Callithrix jacchus: one gene and its partners. The protein of the gene in region 1 purifies or fractionates together with the protein of each later gene. This does not show direct contact. Links are inferred from orthologs where the notes say so. Each region holds a gene or a part of one and is shown on either strand. Other genes may lie near its edges.

Region 1 (6,082 bases):
GTAACAGCTGCACACCTGCCGCACATCTGCCATCACTGAAAGAGTTTCACATTGACAAAGAAATGCCACTGTCTTTTACAAATGCGGACAGTACTTCTGCACCACCACTGATTCGTCAGCACCTGCACAGGACTTTCACGCGTTCCTCGTGCACTTAACTTGGCTCCCTTAATGAAGTGCAAGAAAGCTAAGTGGTTTGGAAAGCATAGCTTGGTGCCACTAAAGAAAACACGTCTAAATGGCCTCCATGAGGAGAGGCGAGGTAGTTTAGGGGAACAATAATAATCAGTCTGGTTCCTTAAAACATATACATAAAGACTATGCGAGCAGGGTGACTCACAACTACCCAACTCAGCTGGTGAGTTAAGTAGGGTATTATCATGTCCATTTTATAGAAATGGAAAATGAGAGTCAGACTTGCCCAAGTTCACCCATTTCTAAGTACAAGAAGCCAGATTTGAACCCAAGGCCCAGATCCCTTTCCAATCCCACAGTCCTCATTAGTCCCACACTTCAAATGAGTTAACTCATCAAATTCCCATTGTAGAGTGACATATTCATTATTATTTGGAGTTGTTCAAATAATATAAGTTCCTCTCCCAAATAATCTGAAAAGTTGTTACTCTCCATTTGTAATTTAATGGGTAGACATGCATTTGAGTATATATAAATTTAGCAAAACTGAGCATAAAAGTTAAATGTTTAAAAGAACGATGCAGAAGAAAGCCTGTTGGTGGGAGGTGGGGAGGAAGATTTAGTTTCAATGCAATTTTATTAAACTTAATATAGCCTTTATAACAATTCAGTGAGATGGAAATCCGGCACCAGGCATATATTTGAGGAATGGAATGTAAGAACAGAAACTGAGCCAGACAAAATGCATCCTAGAAGTGACAGCAAATGCTTCAAGGAAGGCACTTACTAACAGGCATACTATAACTTACTACATTTCCTTAGGTCTGACAATCAGGGCTAAATCTGAATCAGGATATGTGCACCAGACTTTTCTGTATAAGGAATCCAGGCCAAACAAAATAACACCAAACTTTTGACACATCTAACTGTAGTGAAAGCACAGGACATCCATCACTAGTTCTTCTAGTTAAACTTTCCACAAGAAAAGATGCGGAGTGGGAAACAGTTGCAAGTATAGAAGATAACACACAAAGCAATGACAACAGAAAATCAAAACTGCTTAAAAGAATATATGTTTCCTCTAGGTCAGGGGGACTGTGTCCCTGAACAACACAGCCCATATACTCACTTGAGGTGATGTGACACGTACCCACATCAATACATAGCAGAATTGGAAGTTTCACTGCCATGTGGTCCAACCCTGTGACACATGGACAAAGTTCTTCTCAAACATCTCTAAAAAGCAGTCATCACTCTGTTTAATGACTTCCAAAGACAGGGAACTCAGCACCTTAAGGGACTGTTGCTGTTACTATCTCTGAGGCCCATAAACTCAAATGCCTAAAACACATTTTCACCACTCAGGGAGAGGTGGAAGTGGTTACAGGACTCTCCAAAGGGCTTGCCAACCCAACTGTTGCCTCTTGCCTCTCCAATTCCCAAATCCCCCCTTTCCTTGAGCAGGACTCAAAATTAGCACAGTGCTAATAAATCAGTGGTTTCAGAGTTAGAAGGGGCCCTTCAAAAGACAATATTATACCACAGTTCTACAAAAGGAACCCCAGGAAGTGCTTGGGACAAACTGGGAGTATAGGGAGGGAGAATGTCCTGTTTCTCTTCCTCTCATTTCAACCTAGGTAGCTCTCACTTTGATGTGTTATATAGAGAGGATCAAGGTAGTTTTTTAAAAGGAGGAGGAGGAAAAAAAAGGATCATTCACAGGTAAATAAAATAAGGTCTTAAAACTTGCTTAATGAAATCATGTAGCTAATAGTTGCACCGTCAGACAACAACCTGGTCTCTTGGCTCGCTCCATCTTTGGTGCTTTCTCTATCATATAACATCTGCCCACCTACAAGGCCAAATTCAAACTCTGCAGTGATATACAAAGCCCTTCAAGATCTCCCCCTGCTGCCACTCTATTCCAATTTTTATGAGAAGTCCCACATTCCAGTCCCACTCAAATGTTTATGAACCAACTTATGTCAGACAATTACCTACCTCCAGACCTTAGCGCACACTATGCTCTTAGCCTGAGATGCCCTTCCCCACCTTGTCTGTACTGAAACCAACTAATCCTCTTTCAAGACTTGTTTGAAGCATCATCACCTCTATAAAGCCTTTTCTGATCCTCAGGTAGAACTGACCACATTCTTCTTTGTGCCCTACACAACACTTACAGGGCTTTACAGTACTTGTTTTATTTCTATGTCCGTATCCTCAACCACTCCTTTTACATCATGTTACTCTAACATGAGGCTGGTCAAAAGGTAAGTGCTTCATAGATGTTCATCAATGGGGTAAGTGTATTCATCTGGTCCAATCCCCTTTCTGAGGTTTAAGTATCTTCAGCTAACTGTCATTAATGCACGCATGCATACATTCATTCAAAAATATCTGAATGTCTATACAGTGCCAAGTGCATGCCAAGCAGAGGTAGATTTAGCGTGAAATTAATGAAGCTTAAGCTTCAGGGTCCCTCACTTCAAACTTCCAAAGCTCTCAACCTTTCTTGGCGGTTTTCTTCTTAAAAAGAGGAGACAGAATTATATAAGCTTTAGGCCCCACAAAAACTAGATCCCCACTTGGTGTCACATATACAATAGGGAACAAGACAAACATCTCTCCCGTTGTGCAGTTTTCTGCCTCGTGGTAAAGACAGCCATTTATTCATTCATTCATTCAACAGACATTTACTAAGCAATGCTGTATAAGTCATGCATTCTGAGATGAAAACAACACTGTCCCTTCCCTTAACGAAAAGGTTCCTAGTCCCAGGGAGATGAAGGAACACCTGCTCTGTCCAGGAAACAGAAAGTAGTTGAGATGACTTAACACTGTGAAAGATTATCCTAAACCTGTCTCAAGCGGAACTGAGTCCTACTTATTGCGAAGACAAAGTAAAGAAAGAGTTCGGTTTAATACGGTTTTAATCTCAACTGGGGGTGGGAGGCAGGCAAGCAAACAGAACAGGCAAATACAGTGTGGTCAGTGCTTCGACAGGAAGCGAAGGACTGTGAGGAAACTTCCCGAGTGCAAGTCTGTAATGACAGCGATCTCATGACCTCACAAAGCCGCCCATGCACTTTCCAGATAGAGATTTCTGAGCGTCTTCTTCTTCGCCCCCTAAACCCCGCCGCCGAAGGAGAAATCCGTTCCCCAATAATGCGTCCCCCTTCCTCAAAATAAGGCTGCTCCTTCCCCCAGAAGCTGTCGGCTGAGGCCAACTGTACTGTCCTCCTTGGGGCCACACTCTTTACACAATGCTTAAGGGACGAGGTCTGGTTTGGGGCCTGGGGTCCCTGTCGCAGGTCTGTCCCCTCCTCAAGCCGCCGTTTCCATAGCAACCAGCTTACCACTTCGCGGGCCCGGCTGGAGAAGTCGCCCTTGGGCCTGGGGCTCCGGCGGAACAGCTCATCCCGGCTGCCATCGACCCCGCCGCCCACCGCCACTCCCAGCGCCTTGTTCCGCGTCTTCACGGTCTTGACGCTGGCCCGGAATAGCAGCGTGATATCCACCGCCATAGCGACCCGCACCCGCAGCCCCAAACGGGACCCGCCCACGTCAGCAGCCAGCGACCGCGGCGCTAATCCGCCAGCTAGAGGACTGGTCCTACCCCGCACGCCTCCCCCCGGCAACGGTGGCGCGAGAAGAAAGGTTCCGGCCTGCGCCCGGCTACCGCGGCGGGAGGAAAAAGGTTCCGGCCTAAGCTGGCGCGCCTAGAGGAGGAGGGACCCGGCAACGTGCTCACGGGTAGTCCCTTCTCCAGGCAAAGCTTGGAGGGTTTAGCAGCACGGAGAGCTCTCCTATGTCTGTCTGGGGCTTGTGGGCTCCGGGAGCATAAAGACCGGAAAGCTGGGAAGTTCCTTCCCTTCTGGTGGCTCCCTCACTGAGCCCGGACGATTTGGTTGCGGGGGACGCGAAGGCGAGACCCCCTTGACCTTTGACTGCAAGGACTCACCCTGAGCATGTCAGAGGCACGTGGACGGTGACCCTCGGGGTGCAATAAGTGCTGGGACAGAGCAGGTGTGCAGGGCACAGAGCCAGAGGCCTTTGTTCTCCAGCCTTCCGCCACCTCTTCTGTAAAGGGAAGCCAGCATCCTCCTCGGAGTTTACTGTGAAAATTAAATGACCCGACGCGTGCTGTTTTGGTGTTTCTTGGCTCCCAGTAAGTGGCCAATAAATGGTAGTTATCGTTAATATGTTGTTATTATAATAATAAAAACATATTAATAAATGTTATTAATAAATATTATAATTAATAAATATTATTATAATCTTATTTGTGGTGAGAAAGAGGCTCTAGAGAGAAGGCGTCACCTGTGCAGAGATTTGAAGGATGAATAGGAACTTTAGATGGAGACAGAGGTGAAAGGGTGACCCTAATGCCGCTGGATTCTGTTCATCCTTCATGCATAGTTTTCAAATCTTGAGTCATAAACAATGACAAGTCAGTCAATGAGTTTCTTCTGCATTTTTTGGTTCATGGTTCTGGGGTGTGTGTGTGTGTGTTTAAGATGGGGGTCTCACTATGTTGCCCAGTGAGATTACAGTGGCTGTTCAAAGACGCCATCCTAGCTCACTACTCACTGGAACCCCAGGGCTCAAATGATCCTCCCCCGCTCCGCCTCCTGAGTGACGGGGACTTTGGGCATGTGCCACCTTGCCTGGCCTATGGTTCAGTGTTAAAACAAAATCTCAAGATTTTTTTTCATAAAGAGAATGCACAAGTAGAATATGTGTTAATGCAGTGGTTTAAATGGTCACCAATATAAAACTCTTTTCATAATACTAAGACGTTACTTGCCTTTTCACTCTCACTTCCTCATGAGTTGTATACACTTGAGTTTGTTAGAGACTGTGTGTGATATTGCAACGGAATGAATGCAGAACAGCTGTTTTCTATTAAGCCAGACTTTAAAAAAGGTTTTCAAAGACATAAAAAGTTTTGGTTTTAGTTTCTCATATAGTAAATGTTGATAATGTCAATATAAACAAAAATTGTTTACAGCCCTTAGCAATTTTTAAGTGTGCAAAAGAGTTGAGACCAAAAGTTTGAGAACCACTATGTTAAAGAAATAAAGTTGATCAGAAATAGATGTCAAGAAAGTATATATTTACCAGAAAGGAGGAAGAAAAAGATTATTTAAGCCCAAACTGTAGCCATTCCTTGCAGTTTAAGGAAAATACATTTCCATACAGCTTTCTTCCACCTACTGAGGAAAAGTGAAAGAAATCACAAAATCTCTGCCAATGATTCTATCTTGCACAAATGGCCCTTTGTTTAATCCAGACATTAATGAGTTTTTGGCTATGCAAAGTTAAGCCTGGGGCACAGTAGAAGGAAAGAGAGATTGCTCTGCATAATTAAGTGAGGGGGATTGAATTAGGGGGGAAAAAAGAGAAGCCAGAACCAAGGGAGGGGCCAGGAAAGTACAAAGTAGGTAACTGGAAAGGATTTTTGAGTGAGAGGGAGGCTGAACTATATCAAGACTTCAGTGAGTGGTGCCTTGTGTGAACAGTGTGTTTGATGCAGTTGGATATTTTGGGTAGAAGGGTAGGGACAAAGATCTAAGTTTTCTGTGTGGATTTGCAAGAGCAGAGAAGATTGTAGTGGATATGAGTCCCAAGTGAGCTCAAAACATCAGGCTGTAAATCCACAAGTGACCACAGTACATAAAATTCCTAGAAAAGTCACAAAGATCTTGAGGAGGCTGCTGAACTTTCCACAGACCGTGGGATATGGGTTGTGCTTTTTAAATGTTGTGTTTACTCTTTAATTTCAAAGAGCAAAGTGACTTCGTTGACCATGGACTGTATTAAACTCCATGAAGCTGAAAGGGGCTGTGGATTAAAAGGGTGAGCAGAAATGTTGTGAGAGTTACTACTGCAGCTCCAGGGCTCAAATGATCCTCTCGGTTCAGCCTCCTGAGTAGCTAGGACTATA
Region 2 (5,510 bases), on another chromosome or scaffold:
GCTGCCAAGTCTAAAACTCTCTGTCCCCTCCACATACACACTCACAATTAGCATACAGCCCTGGCTGACCACGCTGGCTTCCCTTCCTGCCCTCACATAAAATATTTAAAACAACCTCCAGCCTGAGGGTGGAGTAGAAAACTGCCTGGGAGCAAAGATACCTCAATCCTCCTGGCTGACCTGCTGGCCTGTTAGCATCGAAGGCTAGTTCACAAGTCTCAACTCTAAGCTGGTTCCTTGGATTTTAAACTTATAACTTGGCTCAGTTCCTTCCCATACACAGCCAGGTTCCTGCCTGGACTTTCTCATTTAGATTCAGCCCTGCTCTGGACACATCCAGGACATGCTGCTCCTACTGGGCTAAAAATGCTCAGAGCTCTCTAGTTCTACTGCTTTCCCACAATTTTTCAAATGGTTGCAGGTCCCCTGACTCTAGTTGCTTGCTCTATGACATCTTAGAGATAGCACAGTTCACTAGTTAAGAGAAAAGGCCATGGGTTAAATCTCCATGAATTCAAATTGAGTTCTCTATTACCAACTTAACTTTGCTGAGCCTCAGTTTGCTCATCTATAAAACTGGAGTAATAATATTATCTACCTCACTGATACTCAGCCATAACCACTGTCCCAAAGAAGTAGAAGTCTAAGAGAGATTCCTGAAGCTAAGCCACAGCTAGTAAGTGAGGGGTTTAGAGTTCAAAGTCAGGTTTATAGGTCTCCAAACACATTCTTTTCAAATATATTACGCTCTTGTCTTTTAAAATCATCCTTATTTTTCTATTTAAAAACAACAAAAATGATTATTTCCTTTTTATAGCAGTGGTTATAAAATTTAAAACCAAGATACATGATTCGGGTTGCAATAGCAAGAAAATAAAGAGGTACGTGGTTATCCACAACTACGAATCTAGTGATTTGGTTACAACTGGCATTCTTCACAGAAGTTGGAACCTCTGCCTGTGCCAATCTCCAGATGAATGATTCACAATTCTTAGTCTTTACACTCTATTTCCAGGATAATAATAAGTACAATAAAAATCTCGGGGATAGGATACTGGGCAGCCTCGGTGACTTGCAGGGAAGGAGAAGGCAACAGCAAAGATGGCAAGAGATCAAAAGGGAGCTCCTCCAAAGGTGACAGAGTTCAGTGGCTGAGGCCACAGGCTAAGATTTTCCAGGAGAGAGAATGCCCAGAGTCCACGTAGTGAAAAATGGCCATTTGTTTAGCAGTGAGGCTGGCTGAGAGGACAGGAACGGGGAGGAGGAGAACCCAAATTATCTACTCTGAGTGGGGCAACACATTGCTGAGGAATTGAGTGCAGGTATTAAGATCCAGTCAAACAGCTCAGAAGTGAGCATGGAGGAGACATCAGAAAATGCAATATGCATTCTCTTCAATAATTCTATCACCAAGTTATATACTGCATGATTCGCATAAGAAATTATTTATTTTTTTTGAGTTCTTATTTTTTTGAGACAGAATCTCATTCTGTTGCCAGGCTGGAGTGTAGCAGCATGCTCTCGGCTCACTGCAACCTCCGTCTCCTGGGTTCACGTGATTCTCCTGCCTCAGCCTCCTGAGTAGCACACCACCATGCCCAGCTAATTTCTTTTTTTTTTTTTAAGTAGAGATGGGGTTTCGCCATGTTGGCCAGGTTGGTCTTAAACTCCTGACCTCAGGTAATCCACCCGCCTCAGCCTCCCAAAGTGTGGGATTACAGGCATGAGTCATTGAGACCAGCCAATAACTTTTTTAAAGATTCAGTTTAACCCAAGCTGAGTTGTTAGCCTGGTTTCTGAATGTAGGTAATCTGGGCTGGGCACTGGAGCTTCTTTAAATTTGTCAACTGGAAAGAACAGAATGGCATATTTACTATAAAATGACAAGAGACTTGTATGTGACATGTACAACATATATGTGTAAATTAGAGCAGTCATCTCTATTTTAGCATCTTTGTACATTTGTAACACAGAAAGAAAATTTCCCAATTAAAACGTCTCATTGATAGCAAAAACAACCAAAACCTTTCTAAAAAGCTAACATGTAATTATTTTCCAATTCAAGAAAGGAAATAAAAATAAAACCTACAGAATGTAGGAGCAATTTTCATTTCTTTTAACATGCACAAACCACTTTAAAATATATTTCTGTTTACCTTGGTCACAGCTTTAGGAGAAAATGTAATTGCATCTACCACTGTGATGAGGTCACCTGGGTGGAGACGATCAAAGTACTTGACGCAGACATCATAGGCATGCAGCCACTCCGGTGAAGAGCCTGGGACTTGTTTAATGAGATGAGGGTCTCCAGTCCAGAACAACTTCTGTAACCAGATGGTGTACAGAGAGCTCGGGGAAAGCATCTGTCCATCCTTTTCAGGGATTTTGGGAACAAGTTTGGAAATAGATAAGATGTTTTGACTTGAAAGAACTGGCTCCAGTGCTTCAAGAGGACTCATGTTTTCATCTGTCAGCTTTTTGTAATTAAGACCTAGCAGAAAAAAAAGAAAGTAGGTAAGTGGTTCATTCGGATGCAAAAATACAGGCGCTTTCACACACACACAATCCTCTGTATGTCTGAACGCAAAGATCTATCAACTTAGCTATAGGAGGTGGTTTAGGTTTTCTATTAGAAAGATCAGTAAATCTGAGTTCTAGTCACAGCCTGAATCTTACCAGATAGGCCATTCATCTGCTGTGTGCCTCTATTTCCTCGTTTGTACACCAGAGATGACAATATCTCCATGACTTCTGCATCCCCCACAGCACCTGTTTTCTCCTGTCAGTGCATTCACCAAACTGCACTATATTCATTTGTTATTTATCTGCCGTTTCACTATTTACTTGAAGGTAAGGACTGAATCTTATTCCCTCATCCTCTGTGTCTAGGCCAGTGTCTCACTTGATGACTCAGAAAACAACTGATAAACTGAAGGGAACTCTCACAATTATTATAAATATCAAATAAATACAGATTTGAATGTGCCTTGCAAATTATAAGGTATAAAAATTTAAGAGGTCTTAAGGTGTTTAATTTCTTAGTTATGAGAATAAAGACCACTCTAAAGATTTCCACAATTCATCAAAGATTGGAAGACTCATACTTGAAGTGTTCCATGCATATTTAAACATATAGGCTCCAGTGGAATAAAATTCTGCTGAACTGTCTATTATAAAGTGTCTTGGCCTTGCCATTTATATACATAAAATATAACCAATGAGAGTAGTGAAAAAACCCTGGAGCCAAATTCCAAAACTCTGGATTTTAGTATCAGGTCTGCCATACATCACCATGCGACTTTCAATAGGCTTCTTACTTTTTCTGGTATTTAATTCCCTCAACCACAAGTGAAAGAGTTGGAAAGATAATAACTGAAGTCTATTAGCTTCCAAATTCTGTGGTTTCAGAGCTCTGCCGACCATAATGCATGAACAGAATTACGCACAGAAAATTAATCCCCAGATTAATTTTAAAAGAATGAATTCAAGCAGGGAAAGAACCATCTTACCTGATGCAACAACCTTAAATTTCTTCAGCAGCCGAATGTGGGTTTCTGGTTTAATGGCATACTTCTCCAAGCCTGCACAGCCACAGTTTTCCAGAAGAGTGAAATAATACAGCAGCCTTTCGTGATCAAAGCCACCAATCGTGGGGTAAATATACTTGACCATGTGCTGGTGAAAGGCTTCTGGATCAGTCTTCAAAGTCTCAAAGAGATGAAGGTCTTGGGCTCTATTTTCAATTTCTAGTGTGGACAAACTGAAATTAAGAGCAAAGGAGCCTTGTTAAGATTTTGTTCCTTTATTAGAGTGATTTTTTTTAACCCAGGAAGAAGCACTACTTATAGCTTCCTTCTTCCTGCCTACTCAAAGAAAGTAAACCACCCCCAGCACCCAGTCAGCTTGTAAAAAGGGAAACAAATGTGTTAGATGCCTACTAACATTTAACTGACTACAGAGTCATCATGTTATCTCATGGGGGTCTACAGCCACCCTGGGAAGTAGGCTTTACTTCAAGTTCTTCCAGTTGGGAAAGTTGTCTGTTTGTTTACCGGCTAGGAAGTAAACCATCTGTCAGGGTCCACTCTAAATCGTTAATTCATGTCATAAAAAGGGTTTAAAATCTGTGCTTCTTCACAGAAACATAAACAGGGCTTATTATTTCAGGAATTTAGTAAATTATACAGGAAAGAAAAACCCTAACCCCTTTGGCTTAAGATTTACATCCAGGTGTCTTGCATTAATATTCAATAAACTCAAATTTTATGCTGTGTTCAAATAAAAGAAAAACGGAGAAAAAGTGATAATTAAACTTTCACCTGGGTTATCTGCAGTAATGCTACTCGCATAAAACACCTATCTTAATATTTTCATTCTAACTTAGATGTCTTTGTAATATAATTTTAAAAAGTCATTTAAGGTTAAACTCTTGGAAAAAGAAAAATTAAGGTATTTTTGCTTGGTTGATTGGTTTGTGCTTTTAGAAGGGGGAGGGAAGGGGTTAACTTTGGTATTATGCTTCTCCCTGGACAGAATCTGGTCACAGCCATCTCAACATCCCTTACGGGATGAGTTTCATACTCCCTAAGTGGTCTAGTGTAATCTCAACATCCCTTACGGGATGAGTTTCATACTCCCTAAGTGTAAGAGTCCTTTGGGCACCCCTCCACTCACAGAATTGCCCAGGTTCTAGGGTTCTCCCACTGAGCTCAGAATGTGACAACACTTGGGACAAAGAGGGTAAAGTCAAAGCATCAAGTAATTTTTAAAAACTGGTCTTTTTACTTTTGCTTCAAGAAAAGCCTTATTTTTCCATTAAGACACAGTTCAAACATTTACAAGAATATTCCTAACTATAAATATGTCCCCAGTCACTGGCTCCTCTGAGCTACTGGTGTGTGCTGACTATCCTTCTATTCTGTTATGCAAAACATATGTTAACTATTTATCACCTTGTCTAGCTCCCTTACTAGATTGTGCTGCTTCATGGCATAGACCTTATTACATCATCTTAATCTTTAGTTTCTCAATACCAAGGACCAGCGTGTGGCACAAAGGAAATCTTCAATATATGTCTTATCAATGCCAAATAGACGAGTGGATGAGCAAAAAATTAGGTGTCCTCTATGTACAAGGCACTGTGCTTAGCACTGGGGAGGATTTAAAGACTTACAGCATAGAGTTCTCACACGAGTTTGAAAATCCAGTTGAATTATAAATACTTACAGCTAAATAATGATGCAAAACCATAGTATCAGCTGACAAAGGGCACACAATTATAGTCCAATTAAGAGTAGTATCGGCCAGGCGCAGTGGCTCACGCCTGTAATCCCAGCACTCTGGGAGGTCGAGGCGGGTGGATCACGAGGTCAAGAGATCGAGACCATCCTGGTCAACATGGTGAAACCCCGTCTCTACTAAAAATAGAAAAATTAGCTGGGCATGGTGGTGTGTGCCTGTAATCCCAGCTACTCAGGAGGCTGAGGCAGGAGAATTGCTTGAACCCAAGA
Region 3 (6,102 bases), on another chromosome or scaffold:
TCACCAAAGGGAGGAACGGGAATGGCTTTGAGCTTCTCCTAACTGGCTGGTGCCGTCGCCCTCGGTGGCTGCTGGTGCGTCAAAGCCCCCTAGCATCTGGCAGCCCGGAAGTAATGAAGAGCGAGGGCAGCATCTGAGCACCAAGGCAGGCGGCAGCACTGACGCCCACTGCCTTGCGGCCCGGGTGAGGCTATTGGACTTGCCCTTTGGCAGGACCAGAGGCCCCTCAATGTGGGGTGCTGTCATTGCTGGGGTGCCCAAAAGGGAAAAGAGAGGCACCAAGGACAAGCTGAACCCCAACACTCCCTTCTCCAGTACCGGCAGCTACCAAGGACCGTGAATAAAGGTGGGTTATGAAATGCTGAACACAGGCAAACTCAGATCAGAGAGGAGGAGGAGCCTGAGTGAGTCCCACCCAGCCAGCAGGTCCTCCCCAGCTGGCCTCTGGCTGTGCTCCCCGTTCCCAGGCACACGAGCTCTAGTCAGGCCAGCCTCCCATCCTCCCTGCCCTCCACCCTCACCTCACTCACACCCCCATAGCACCAGAGCGTAGGTCAGCTCTGCTTGGAGCTGGAAGGAACTGGGATGAACGACCAGCTCTGTCTTTCAAATATTTGGAGTAAACTGCCATGGGGACACTTAGGAGGGTGGCGGCTCTCCAACACACCCAGTTTGCCAACATCCTTCCTGAGTGTAGTGCCCAGAGATGGTCACGAACCTTCAGGAGAAACTACTGTGGTGGCACAGCAAAGGGGCTAAGCGAGAAGGCTCTGGAATCACACAGAACTGGGTTTGAATGCTGCCTCTCCCACTTACTGTGGGGCTGGGCAAAGAGTCACTTCTCCTAAGCCCCCGGCTTTCTCTACCTTCCTGGAGATTTTGTGCGGACTAAATCTATCCGATCCATCAGCAGGTAGAGCCTGGCCCAGGCCTGGGCCTGAGTCAGAGTGAGCACTTAGTAACCAGCATGTGCTAGTATTACTGGCACTGCAGCAGCCTCCTGCTGTCACTCTCCCCCATACCAGCTGCTGCAGTCCTTTCTAGAAGGCAAACGGGAACCCTCCAGGATGGGCCTCCCTTAGCCTCCTTGGGGCTCTGCAGTGACTCCTCCAGGCCCAGTCCTTGCTCACGAGGCCTTCGTTGTCTGGCCTTACGTGCCGCTTCCACCTTTACGGTCTAACATGGAACTCTCTGTGTTTCGTCTTCCTAAGGCATGCTCAGTCACACTTCCTCCATACCAGAGAGCACCCCAGAACTCCTGTTCATTCCCCAGGATTGGGCCCTCTCCCCCAGGAAGCCATTTCTGGTCCCTCTGGATTTCAGTTCCCCGTCTTTCCAGGCAGAACGTCTCCTCACGCTAGACCTCGGCAGCACCATCCCTGCTGCCTAGAGCACCCTCCCCGGCCCCACTCCCTTAGCAAGTCCTGGGCGTTCCCTGGGGCCTAGCTCACTCCTCACCAGAAGCCTCCATGCAGCTCCCGCTGCTTCCTCTCAGCTCAGCCATTCACACGGATGACATAATCGAGGCCTTCCTTACCGTAATTCTGCTTTACTAGTGTTTGGTGTTCATCTTGCCTTCCCAACCAGGTAGCAAGTGCCCTGGGGCTGACTTAGCTGCTCCCTCCAAGCACACGGTCCAGTACCCACCAATCCCTGGGCCAAAGGGAACAGACACTCAGAGCCACCCAGGAAAACCATCACCAAAAACCCAGCTCGTGGTCCCACCCCCAAACACAGCACTTGAACTTCTCCCCTTATGAAGAAAACACACACATACCCCCTCTCCCTCCTCTCAGCCTCTAAAAGAAAACATTTTTCACCTAATCAATATGGTCCATCAGCCCCGGATGTTTCCCCACACCAGGCAATTCCCGGTCATGTTCTTCAAGTTCTTTTGCTAAACATTATCCAACCTCAAACAAGGGGCGAGGCCCAGAGCCTTTTCCCGTTCTTTCCTCTCTTGGAAAGATCCCTCCACTTCGTGTCTTACCAGCCTCTGCCAGCTTCCTACCATGGTCTCCTCCGATCCCCAGGCCCTCCCCCCAACCCCCTTCTCCAGCCTTCTGCAGACGCTCCCAGTCCTACCACCTTCCCCAGGCTCTGCTTCTGAGTGGCTACCACACATCATCCTCTCTACAAGCCCACTAGTCCTTTCCCAAGCCTCCTCTCTGTTCCCACAGCCTCCCCTTGATCCTTTCAGGACCCCCCATCAGCGCAGATCTCACTCCCCACCTCCCACCCCCTGCCAAACCCTCCCCAGCTCCCTTCTACTTCCTCTGCCCAGAGTCTCATGTGCCTCTCCACCCTATTAAGTCCTCCTGGGTCCCTCTTGTGTTTTATTTCAGCTCCTCTTAGCAAACTCATGCTTCTCCATCTCTCCCTCTTCTGACCCCTCCCAGACCTCTCCGCTCACACTAACTTTGAACCCCTCATCCCTCTGCACGCTCCAAATCTGTTCCTTCTGGAAAGTCACATTAACAACAGCTAACATGTTCAGAGACGTTAACTCCATGCCAGGCTCAATCCTAATACAGCAAATCGCAGGTAGGTTTGGTTCGAGGTCTCCTTTAATGGGGAGACTGAACAATTTACCCAAGGTCATGAAGTGGCAGAGCCACATTTCAAACCTGGCCTCTTGACACTCCTAAGCCACTAGAATTTCTCAGAGGATGGCTGTGTCGCTTTTAGGAGCGAATGCGAGTTTTATGCCATGCCATATGCATTAGTTCTGTCTCCCAAGCCTCTTCCCATCCGTCTTCTCACCATGTCCCTGTCATCATCATCACCATTACTTGAGGATCACACAGCAGGCCTCTGATCCCCCGTTTTGGTTCTTTCTGTCCCTCTGTCTCGCCCTGTTACCCCTCCATCTCCTTGGCCAAGCCACCACCATGTGTTCCCCCACCCAGGAGTCTTTAGCCTCAACCCAGGCCTCCTCAGTCTTTTTGTTTTTCTTTGACATGGAGTCAGTCTCGTACTGTCACGCAGGCTGGAGTGCAACGGTGTGATGTCGGTTCACTGCAACCTCTGCCGTCTGGGTTCAAGTGATTCTCCTGCATCAGCCTCCCGAGTAGCTGGGATAACAGGCACCAGCCACCAGGCCCAGCTAGTTTTTGTATTTTTAGCAGAGAAGGGTTTTCACTACGTTGGTCAGGCTGGTCTCCAACTCCTGACCTCAGTGATTTGCCCACCTCGGCTTCCCAAAGTATTGGGACCTCCTCACTCTTGGCTCCATCATGCGGGTTCCCTGGTTCAGCTGTCTTTAGTCACTGCTAACCAGGGCCGGACTCAACCTAGGCACCCCCCAACACACACTTCAGATGTGTTTCACCACTCCTAGGATCACCAAATTCCCGAGACCCTCCGTCTGGTGTCAGCCTCCTTCAGCCATCACCCTTACTGCCCAGGACCCCCCACAAATCCACTGCCCTGGGGGACTGGAAAGGTCAGTCCCTCGGGCAGGGCGTCCTCAGTCCCAGGACCCATCACGCCGCCTGAGAGCCTTCAGACAGATGCCCCTAGAGCTCCGAAAGGCCTCCGACCTGCCTACTCTCCCGGATTCCCTCCGTCCCCCCCAGGCCAGTCCCCTCCAAAGCTTCAGGACGTATTCCCTCGGTCCAGGTTCTCCCTCGGCCCCCTGGCCTGTCTTTGGCCTGAGTCCCCTTTCTCGCCTCAAGACAGTGTCGCCTTGGCCCGTGTGTCCTCAGCCCATGTCCCTTCCGCCATGTCAGACCGTCTCTCTTCAAACCGTGTTGCCCCGGCCCGAGCCCTTGGCCCTCAGTCTGTGTCCCCTCTGCCGCCTCAGACCATATCACCTCATTCCAGGTTCCTCTCCGTCCCCTCGGCCCGAGCCCTGCGTGCCTAACCCGCCGCCTCCGGCCGTGACTCCTTCGTCCTCTCACCCTAGGTCCCGGCCGACCCCTGAGCCCGGTTCTCACCCAAAGAGGCCGGAGAAGAAGGACTGCGAGTTCTTCACTTTGCGCTCCGCCTCGGCCAACAGCGCCATCGCCTCCGCTTCCTTCCCGGAATTGTCCATGGCGACTACAAAGAGACTCAACAAGGCGCTCAACCCCGACCCTGGGAGGACTCAGCCGCGGCCGGGCCGCGGAAAACAGGTCGGGAAAGCTCGACCTGCTGCGTTGACGTCGCACCGGTGCGCGCTGCTGCAGCCCGGAACCACGTGACTCGCGCTGGCCAACCAGCGGCCTCGTAGCGCGGCGCCCGCTCCGGCGACCACGCCCCAACCTGCCGCACGCCGCCAGTGACTCAAGACCCCCCAATTGGCGTCCCGAGACCTCAACGCATGCGCACACACCCGCGAACGGTGCCCCTGCGGAAGGCAACGGCGGAAGGCAATGGCAGTTCGCACCGCCGAGGCCCCGCCCCACGGTGCTGAAGCTGAATCCTCCTTCACCAATCAGCAGAAGCCCTCGACTCGCGTTGTGCGCCCCCCGCCGCGGAAGTCCGGCGCAGTCAGCTGACCGCGGACACTCACGTGACAGCTCGGGGTCCACGCCCGGATTTGACGGCTCTGCGCAGAGCTTAGTCCCGCCCCCTCGGTTAGTTTCGCGGGTTTCTTCACTGGGAAAGCCGTTTGGAGGAAAAGGAAACAGGACTACTTTTTTTTTTTGCTCCCTCTCCCGGCCAATACTGGAACTGCTTCGGGGAGACCAGTGAAGTAGTTCAGAGACGGGAAACAAAAACTTTAGAGATCCTTTAACTCTCTGGCTTCAGAAAAAGTAGCTGAAGAGGGCCGGGCGCGGTGGGTCACGCCTGTAATCCCAGCACTTTGGGAGGCCGAGGCGGGCGGATCACTTCAGCCAGGCCAACATGTCAAAGCCCTGTCTCTACTAAAATACAAATAGGAGCCCAGCATGGTGGTGCACGCCTGTAATCCTGGCTACTCGGGAGGCTGAGGCAGGAGAATCACTTGAACTGTGGAGGCAGAGGTTGCAGTGAGCCGAGATCGCGCCACTGCGCTCTAACCTGGACGACAGAGTGAGACTTCGTCCCAAAAAATAAATAAATAGGCCAGGCGCGGGGGCTCAGGCCTATAATCCCAGCATTTTGGGAGTCCAAGGTGGGTGGATCACGAGGTTAGGAAATCGAGACTATCCTGGCTAATCACGGTGAAACCCCATCTCTACTAAAAATACAAAAAATTAGCTGGGCGTGGTGCTCAGGAGGCTGACGCAGGAGAGTCGTTTCAACCCGGGAGGCAAACGTTGCAGTGAACCGAGATCGTGCCACTGCACTCCAGCTTGGGAGACAGAGTGAGACTCTGCCTCACAAAACAAAAACAAAGAAGGGTTTTTACTTCCGGGACCTTCCAATCTAAGCATAAAAAAAACACTCTAGACAAATTCCAGTTGAGCCACATCCTCCAAAATATCTGCATAGTACTCCTCCAAACTGTTGGTGGCCGCGTTGTGTCACACCAATAATCCCAGTACTTTGGGAGGCCAAGGCAGGAGGATCACTTGAGGCCGGGAGTTTGAGACCAGCCTGTCCAACATGGGGAAACCCTGTCTCCACTGAAAATACACAAAACTTAGCCGGGCATGGTGGTGTGTGCACGTAATCCCAGCTACTTGGGAGGCTGAGGCAGGAGGATTGTTTGTACCTGGGAGGTGGACGTTGCGGTGAGGTGAGATCACCTCACTACTCTCCAGCCTGGGCAACAAGAATGAGACTCTGTCTAAAACAAGTAAACAAAACTGTCAAGTCATCAAAAGGAAAGTCTGTGAAACCGACACAGCCAAGAAGACGAGACTACTAAGTGTAATGTCTTTGCTTGGGTGAGATCTTGGAACAGAAGGGCATTGGGTTAAAAAGCCAGCCAGGCGTGGTGGCTCACGCCTGTAATCCCAGCAGTTTGGGAGGCTTAGGCGGGTGGATCACCTGAGATCAGCCTGGCCAACATGACGAAACCCTTCACTAAAAATTGCTTGAACCTGGGAGGTGGAGATTGCGGTGAGCTAAGATTTGCACTATAACTTGGGCGACAGTGAGACTCCATCTCGAAAAAAAGACTAAGGAAATTTAAATAAAGCATGGTACTTAGTAATATCGTGCCATATTGGTTCACTAATTGTCATAAAT

What was found.
Region 2: the proteins of STX18 (region 1) and NBAS purify together in Homo sapiens (co-immunoprecipitation; 5 studies listed by BioGRID and IntAct, counting the BioPlex papers as one, with this or other methods). This does not show direct contact. The link is inferred for Callithrix jacchus from reciprocal best matches to the Homo sapiens genes STX18 and NBAS.
Region 3: the proteins of STX18 (region 1) and NAPA purify together in Homo sapiens (affinity purification with mass spectrometry; 4 studies listed by BioGRID and IntAct, with this or other methods). This does not show direct contact. The link is inferred for Callithrix jacchus from reciprocal best matches to the Homo sapiens genes STX18 and NAPA.

Annotation. Positions count from the first base shown.
Region 1 is NC_133504.1:184,726,378-184,732,459, forward strand, and holds the start of STX18 (syntaxin-18), read right to left. Parts: upstream 3,744-6,082; 5' UTR 3,660-3,743; coding exon 3,492-3,659; intron 1-3,491. UniProt on the Homo sapiens protein: Syntaxin that may be involved in targeting and fusion of Golgi-derived retrograde transport vesicles with the ER.
Region 2 is NC_133515.1:99,827,022-99,832,531, reverse strand, and holds part of NBAS (NBAS subunit of NRZ tethering complex), read right to left. Parts: intron 3,761-5,510; coding exon 3,510-3,760; intron 2,492-3,509; coding exon 2,157-2,491; intron 1-2,156. UniProt on the Homo sapiens protein: Involved in Golgi-to-endoplasmic reticulum (ER) retrograde transport; the function is proposed to depend on its association in the NRZ complex which is believed to play a role in SNARE assembly at the ER. Required for normal embryonic development.
Region 3 is NC_133523.1:41,451,389-41,457,490, forward strand, and holds the start of NAPA (alpha-soluble NSF attachment protein), read right to left. Parts: upstream 4,188-6,102; 5' UTR 4,037-4,187; coding exon 3,939-4,036; intron 1,654-3,938; exon of another isoform or gene 1,538-1,653; intron 1-1,537. UniProt on the Homo sapiens protein: Required for vesicular transport between the endoplasmic reticulum and the Golgi apparatus. Together with GNA12 promotes CDH5 localization to plasma membrane.